2 linked regions of the Arabidopsis thaliana genome follow. The protein of the gene in region 2 interacts with the protein of the main gene of each other region in a pairwise test. Each region holds a gene or a part of one and is shown on either strand. Other genes may lie near its edges. The genes, in order: AT1G26650 and AT3G13680.

Evidence for each region.
Region 1: the proteins of AT3G13680 (region 2) and AT1G26650 interact in a protein complementation assay, tested with the Arabidopsis thaliana proteins (one large-scale study listed by BioGRID).

Annotation. Positions count from the first base shown.
Region 1 is NC_003070.9:9,208,160-9,212,089, forward strand, and holds AT1G26650 (Son of sevenless protein), read left to right. Parts: upstream 1-1,891; 5' UTR 1,892-2,175; coding exon 2,176-3,183; 3' UTR 3,184-3,429; downstream 3,430-3,930. Other genes in the region: AT1G26640 (Amino acid kinase family protein), read right to left, coding at 1-67, 162-239, 326-361, 450-506, 591-652, 737-779, 860-957, 1,115-1,345 and 1 more.
Region 2 is NC_003074.8:4,476,466-4,480,310, reverse strand, and holds AT3G13680 (F-box and associated interaction domains-containing protein), read left to right. Parts: upstream 1-1,559; 5' UTR 1,560-1,589; coding exon 1,590-2,777; 3' UTR 2,778-3,022; downstream 3,023-3,845. Other genes in the region: LDL2 (LSD1-like2), read left to right, coding at 1-332, 409-1,118; AT3G13677 (uncharacterized protein), read right to left, coding at 3,219-3,509, 3,704-3,754, 3,842-3,845.

The sequences.
Region 1 (3,930 bases), on a different chromosome or scaffold from region 2:
CTTTCAAGAGCACAGCGTCGGGCTCTGAAGGTGAAGGTGGTCGATCGTAGACACCTAGTACATCTGTCTTTGTAAAGAGTTACTCAGATAACAAAGAATATATAGGAAAGAGGGAGAGAGAACACAAATTAAATTTCCGGTTTATACTATGAATAGGATACGAGAAAGACAACATATTCTGGCTTCAAATGATCTGCAAGATGACGGATGATAACATCACCACTCAATATGGTGCAGCCCTGTTCAGGACAAGATTTTCAACTGTTCAAATTCTAAACGGACAAGAATCTAGATAGCTATTTGGTATCTCTGGAGAGCATATTACCAGTATATTGTCCAGCACTGCATCTCCATGGAGAACCTGGCCATGACAAAAATTACTGTCCAAATTACAGTCAAGAGACTTTGGTAAACATCTACCTAATTTCACTGGTGGGATCAAAACTTACAGGGACAAATCCTGAGTCTATGGTTTTAGCTACGGTTGCTAGATCTGCAGAAGCCACCTAATGCAAAAAGCAGTCTCATTGAAATCTAAACCCACATGCTTCAGATCAGGAAATATGTTAAGAAGTTCAGTTAGCTCTTACATCTCTTTTGGAGGTTGACCAACCACATGAAAATGGAGACATGCCTATCGTAGGAATGCCCTCTGCAAGAGATCATAATGTTTAGCTTCAAAATTCATCTTTTCCTCTTAGCCAGAGTAGGAAAAGAGAATAAGCTTAAGAGATACCTCGGGCTAGTGCTCGTACAATTTCAAGATTAAGATTTGTCACCTGCAAAAAGAAGTTGTAGACTATCAGAACAGCTCAAGACTATCTTACGTAAGAGCATCAGATTTAGCTAACAGTCTCACAGATATACGAGTAGCAACGAAACCAGCTTTGACAATAGGTTTCTCAAGTCCTCCTTTGTGAACCCCAGATCTACTGGCCTGAAAGTGCCCAAAGGAACCTAATGACAAAAATCAGAACAACACATAAGAAACCCAAAAACTAAATAACAGCTCAACTAACACAAGCAGGTCAATGATCTGTAAGAGCTAAATCAAAAATGTATTTTGATCCTTCATTATAAGATTTAAGCAGATAAGAATCAATCTCCAACTAACCAGCGCCATGAACCACAACAAATTTACTAAACTCAGAAGACTTTTGATCCCCTATGTCATCCACATCACAAGAAATCTCAGAGCTTCCAGGTCTCTTGCTCCAATCCATGCCAATAACCTTGCTTGGAGCTGAACCCTCCAACATAGCTTGACGTAACTGACACGCCACGACCTCCAGATTTTCATCGTGAATCTTCTCCAGCTCGTTTTTGCAAGTAATTGCCGCACCTCCTATCAAATCATTTAGACATTCTGCTGTTACAAAGTCTAGACAGGTAAAATTGATGGGAAATGAATAAAAGACAGATCTTTAAAGTCTTTCCTCATCTTCGGTATTCAATAGTCAAATCAGAATCAAACCCATAAGACAGAACAACTAAAATGCGATCTAAGAATCGATCCAGCAAGTATTTTAATAGGGATCAAAAGACAAACCAAGTTTCACAATGCAACGAATTGATCTGCTTCGACTCTCGGAAATATTCAGCTCCATTGTTGCGTCTCTCTCTAAAGCTCTCGTCTTTAGTGGTCAACGGTATGTCTCTCTCTCCCGCTCTAACTCAACTTCATCGTACTCGTATCCTTCTTCTTGCCATTTCCCATTCACCGGAAAGATTCTCTCTTTTTTTTTTTTTTTTTTTCCATAGAAATATTCTTCTTTTTATTCCTCTAAAGAAGCCCATTAAGCTATTATTGGGCCTAACCAAATTGATCAATTTTTTCAAACCGGGTTTATGGTTTAGTGTTTTAAGGTTTCAGTTAAATTAGCGGTTTAGCTTCAAGTTCGCGATGGAGTAGAAGAAGATTACCTCCGACAAAAGCACGTTCACTTGTGCCACCGACAAAATTGGAAATCTTACATTTTTTGTTTTCTCTAATCAAAATTATTGTTGGAACGTAGACAAGATCCGTTCCAAGATTCGTCTTTTTTTTTCAATTTGATTCCTGGGTTATCTGAAAGATCTTCTCTTTGCTTCGATTTCTATCTCCGCTGCTTGTGAAATCAACCTTTATGGTATGTAATCTCGAACTCAGCTAAAACACACTTCACTCTCGGAAACATGGAGACGGAAACGAATCAGGTTTTACGGAAACCGGAGCTAAAATCATACAGTCACAAACAATTTCACTCCTCAAATGCGTTAGAGATCTTAAGAGAAACAGTTCGAATTCTCCGGTACAATCTTGGTGCTTTAATGTTAACTACTGCTGTTTTGATCTGTCCTGTCTCTGCTTTGCTCTTACCAAACTTTTTAGTTGATCAATCATTAGTGAATAAACTCACAGTGAAGCTTCTTTTAGTGGCGAAATCAAGTGGTCTTCCTTTGCAGCCTTTTGTCAAACATTCTTGTCAGAAATTCGCTGAAACTGCTGTTTCGTCTGCAATGTGTTTCCCTGTGTTTATCACTGTGTCTCTGTTGTCTAAAGCAGCTGTGGTTTACTCAGTGGATTGTTCTTACTCGAGGGAAGTAGTTGATATAAGCAAGTTCTTGGTTATATTGCAGAAGATATGGAGGAGAGTTGTGTTCACTTACGTTTGGATTTGCATTCTGATTGTTGGTTGCTTCACTTTCTTTTGCGTTCTTCTTGTAGCAATCTGCAGTTCCTTCTCTGTTCTCGGCTTCTCTCCAGATTTCAATGTTTATGGAGCTATGCTAGTTGGTTTAGCCTTCTCTGTAGTTTTCGCTAACGCGATTATAATCTGCAACACTGCGATTGTGATCTCGGTTTTGGAAGATGTTTCAGGGTTAGGAGCATTGATGAGAGCTAGTGATTTGATCAAAGGGCAGATTCAGGTTGGTTTGTTGATGTTCCTTGGATCAACTTTAGGATTGGCGTTTGTGGAAGGATTGTTTGATCACAGAGTGAAGAAAGTTAGTTATGGAGATGGCTCTTCGAGGTTATGGGAAGGACCTCTTTTGGTGTTGATGTATTCCTTTGTGACACTTATAGATTCGATGATGAGTGCAGTGTTCTATTTTAGCTGCCGAGTTTATTATAGTATGGAAGCTTCTAGAGGTGAAACTCAGCCAATCATGGAAACGGTTACGGTTGTGGATGCTGAGTAATGGTGCGTTGTGCGGATCAAACTCGGTGAATGGACATGGAAACGTATTAGCTGAAGAAGAAGTTGTATATCATCAAATGGGGTTTTATTGAGCACTTTTTGTTTCACTTTGAAACTTGATGCATCTTTAAGGTTTTTGTTATATATGGTTTCTCTGTTTACATTGTTTGAAGATTATATAGCATCCCAAGTTCGTTCATAGTTCTGCTCTTGTTTCTTTTTAGCCAGTTTGATTGAGTCTTGAAAATCTTGGGCGTAAAATAGTAAAATTAAAAAGTAGGTGGGCCTTTATGCAAGGTAATTATATTACAAAGGACTTGAAATTAAAACCAAAAGTAAGAACAAACCGGTTCGCATGGTTTAAATAATCTGTGCTCGAGCGGTCAAATTGTAAAACCACCAAATAATTCTTCGTCTCCCTCACCGTCGCGGCGTCGCCACTCGCCGTCACAACCACCGTCGTTCAACATCACTGTCACCAAAAGAATCACCGTCGTTCGGTCGTGACGTGTCTGGACCTATTTCATCTCTTTGCTCGTGACTCGTGAGTCAAATACTCTTGGACCTTTGCTGTTATCTGTACCTCTAATTTTGTGATTTTCAGATTCCTTCTCGTTTATCGAGTTGGATTCTCTGTATTTGAATGTATTTTTGATAGGGTTTCGTTTGGAAACCAATTTGATTCTCATATTTAAAGTGTAGTTACGTGGTTTGTGTTCTCTCTTGGGGATGTTCACCACCTGTTCGA
Region 2 (3,845 bases):
CACTGTGCCGCTTGGGGTCTTGAAGAAGAGATCTATCAAGTTTGAGCCGGAGTTACCTAGAAGAAAACAAGCAGCAATTGACAGGTTGGGGTTTGGCCTTCTGAACAAAGTTGCCATGCTTTTCCCATCTGTCTTTTGGGGTGATGAGTTAGACACGTTTGGATGCCTCAACGAGAGTAGCATCAACCGAGGAGAGTTTTTTCTATTCTATGCCTACCATACAGTCTCTGGTGGCCCTGCCTTGGTTGCCTTAGTTGCTGGAGAAGCTGCTCAACGATTTGAGTGCACAGAACCATCTGTTTTACTTCACCGTGTTTTAAAAAAACTCAGAGGTAATATTTGATAACGTCATGAACCTTTTGCTGCTTCCAAGTTCTCGCCATAACAATGTTTTTGACATAATTGTAGGCATATATGGTCCTAAAGGTGTTGTTGTGCCTGACCCAATACAGACGGTTTGCACTAGATGGGGAAGTGATCCTTTGTCATATGGGTCATATTCTCATGTAAGGGTTGGTTCATCTGGTGTGGACTATGACATTCTTGCTGAAAGTGTTAGTAACCGTCTATTCTTCGCTGGTGAGGCCACGACAAGGCAACATCCAGCCACAATGCACGGTGCCTACTTAAGTGGTTTAAGAGAAGCCTCAAAGATTCTACATGTTGCGAATTATCTTCGCAGTAATCTAAAGAAACCTGTTCAAAGATATAGTGGAGTTAACATAAACGTTCTTGAAGATATGTTCAAAAGACCCGACATAGCAATAGGGAAGTTGTCATTTGTCTTCAACCCATTAACCGACGATCCGAAATCGTTTGGATTAGTCAGAGTTTGTTTTGACAACTTTGAAGAAGATCCAACCAATCGTCTTCAGCTTTACACTATTCTTTCCCGGGAGCAAGCTAACAAGATCAAAGAATTGGACGAAAATAGTAATGAGAGCAAACTATCGTGTCTGATGAATACTCTTGGATTAAAGCTAATGGGTGCCAACTCAGTACTAGACACAGGTGGTGCGTTGATCAGTGTCATAGCTAACGCACGCAGAGGCAGAAGCAGGTCCCACGTGGTTGCAGGGCAATGTAACCTCCCCTTAAACCCCCTGCATTTTAATTGACCAATTGCCCCCTCAAAAGGTTCCTTGTTACTGTTTTTGGTAACTCATTTTTGCAGAGAAATCTGAACATGTCAAGAGAGAAGTTCAGATTCTCCACTAACCATCACATAAATTCTTCTCTTTTCTAATTTTTTTGTTGTCATTTTTGGGGGCGTTATTTTTATGTTTCTAAAACTGCGTAATTTATACAAACAATGGAAGAATGTTTCTGTGTATGGAATCGATGATGACGTTTGGAATATGCTGCAATTAGTGAACCAGATATAAACCAACACTAACCAGCAACAACCGAAACCAACCAAACTCCAGTAATATGGGCTCTAAAGATAAAAATGGAAGCTTCGGGATTAAGTAGAGTGTCTCTCAAGTCTCAAGGAACTTTAGGTTTTTTGTTAATAGAGCTTCTTCATCCACATAATAGAACAGCCTTTTTTAAGAACGTCCACACCTAAATTGCTGAAGCTTGAAAGAATGACGACCATGGGCGATCTTCCAGGCGATTTGGTAGAGGAGATACTCTCTAGGGTTCCGCTGACATCTCTGAGGGCTATACGATCTACTTGCCAAAAGTGGAACTCTTTATCGAAAAGTCAGATTTGTGGTAGAAAAGCAACAGCAGCAGAGAATAAGTTTCTGGGGTTTATGATGAAGGATTCAAGGGTTTGTTCAATGAAATTTGATCTCCAAGGAATCAGAAACGACGACGGGGAGTTGGTTGAGCCATCTATAAAGCAAGTAAGTAAACTCGATCAAATCGAGGTCTCTCAAGTTTTTCACTGTGACGGTTTAGTCCTATGCATCATTAAGGACAACACAGGGCTCTTGGTATGGAACCCTTATTTGGGGCAAACTAGGTGGATCCATCCGAGAAACAATTACCAGATAGAAGATAGGTATGCTCTTGGATATGATAACAACCGTAACCACAAAATATTGAGGATTTTCGATTTGTATCCAAGCAGCAACCGCGTTTTTGGGTACGAAGTCTACGATTTTAGCTCTAATTCATGGAAGGTTCTTGATGTCATTCCTGAGTGGGATATACAGTCTCATTTTCGTGGCGCGTCTTTGAAAGGGAATGCTTATTTTCCTGCGCAAAAGAAAGAAACAGTGGGAGGAATAAAGACAATAAATATTGAAGATGTTCTACTTTGTTTCGATTTTACAAGGGAGAGATTTGGACCGCCTCTGCCACTGCCGTTTCACTCTTACAATGCAGACTTTTTTGTGTCTCTAGCTTGTGTTAGGGAAGAGCAGCTCGCTGTGTTATATCAACGCTGGGGGGCATTTGAGACAATCGAGATTTGTGTTACAAATAAGATTGATCCCAATACGGTTTCGTGGAGCAAGTTTTTGATAACGTCCACTGGTTTTCCGGTTGACACTTTTTCTGGGAGCTTTTTCATTGATGAGGAGAAGAAAGTTGCTGTGGTTTTTGATTTAGATAGATATAAACCGACTGAGACCTGTCGCTACCAAATAGTTTATATTATTGGACAAGATGAATACTTCAAATCTGTCAACATGGGAGTTGCCCCAAATATCGCGAAGAACTCGTACCAAGCTTACTGTGTTCCACTTGTGTGCTCTTCTTCCTATGTTCCAAGCTTAGTTCAACTACAAATCAACAAACCGGGCAAAAGGAAAGAAAGTAACTAGTTCCATTTACACTACTTTTTATATTTTTCTTGCATCATCTTCTTTTGTTTCATTCCATTGACTTTGATGTTCTTTTGAACGATCATTAACTTGTGTTTTGCTATTTATCTGCTTATAAAGAAGTGGGGGGTTTTGTGATACAATCAGCTCGGCCTTTAACTAAAATCATACTAGTTGTTTAGATGTAGGAGTCCATATGGAAATAGATAGATAAGTTAAGAGAATCATTTACTGCCTCTGTTTATAAAAAAACACTCGAGGTATTGGAAATGTTTCATTTGTTTGATGGTTTGGTGGTCTGATGCATCGTGTTCTGTGTTTTGGTTTCTTAAACTCTTGAATGAAATTAGGCATAAATTTTGAGTCTTCCCTCAGCTTTATCCTTGAACAACCTTTTTAACATCTTGAATTTACCCATTTGGAGTACACAAATGCAACCATTCACAAACCTTCTCCCACATTCGCGCCAAGGACAATTCCACCCATGCCACGCTTATAGCTTAGCTTGGATTGCTCCCATCTCTCGCACTTCAAAACATAGCTTCTTTGAATGCAAGACCAATATACAACTCCATTCCTAACGATTAATGGGCGTCTCACTTCTTCTCTGAATGTGCCATTTACTTCCAATTTGAGCGACTTGTGGGTTTTCATCATCCGAGTGTCACTATCGGGAAATATGTTACGGCCTAAAGGAAACTCATCCCACAAACTGTGGTATATTATTCTCAACTTCAAACTCAAACCGTTTCATTGCATCCTCATCCAATTGATCAATACAAAGGGAAAACTAAAACATACAATTAAAACCAATAAACACCAACTTCTTAAGAAACTAGCTTGTTGCCATGTCATTAATCAACAAGCAATCTCGAGTAAAAAGTTATATTACATTAGTTCCTTATACATCAAAATCTGGATTTTACAAGGAGAGCTGTGTGAATAGCAATTCCAACTCCTTCTCTTGAGACAATGTTCTCTGTCCAACAAAGAAACATAAGTTAGTTAGTTTCAAAGGTGTTTCATATAGAGTAGTAATGTGAAGAAGAAGAGGATTGACTTACTTGG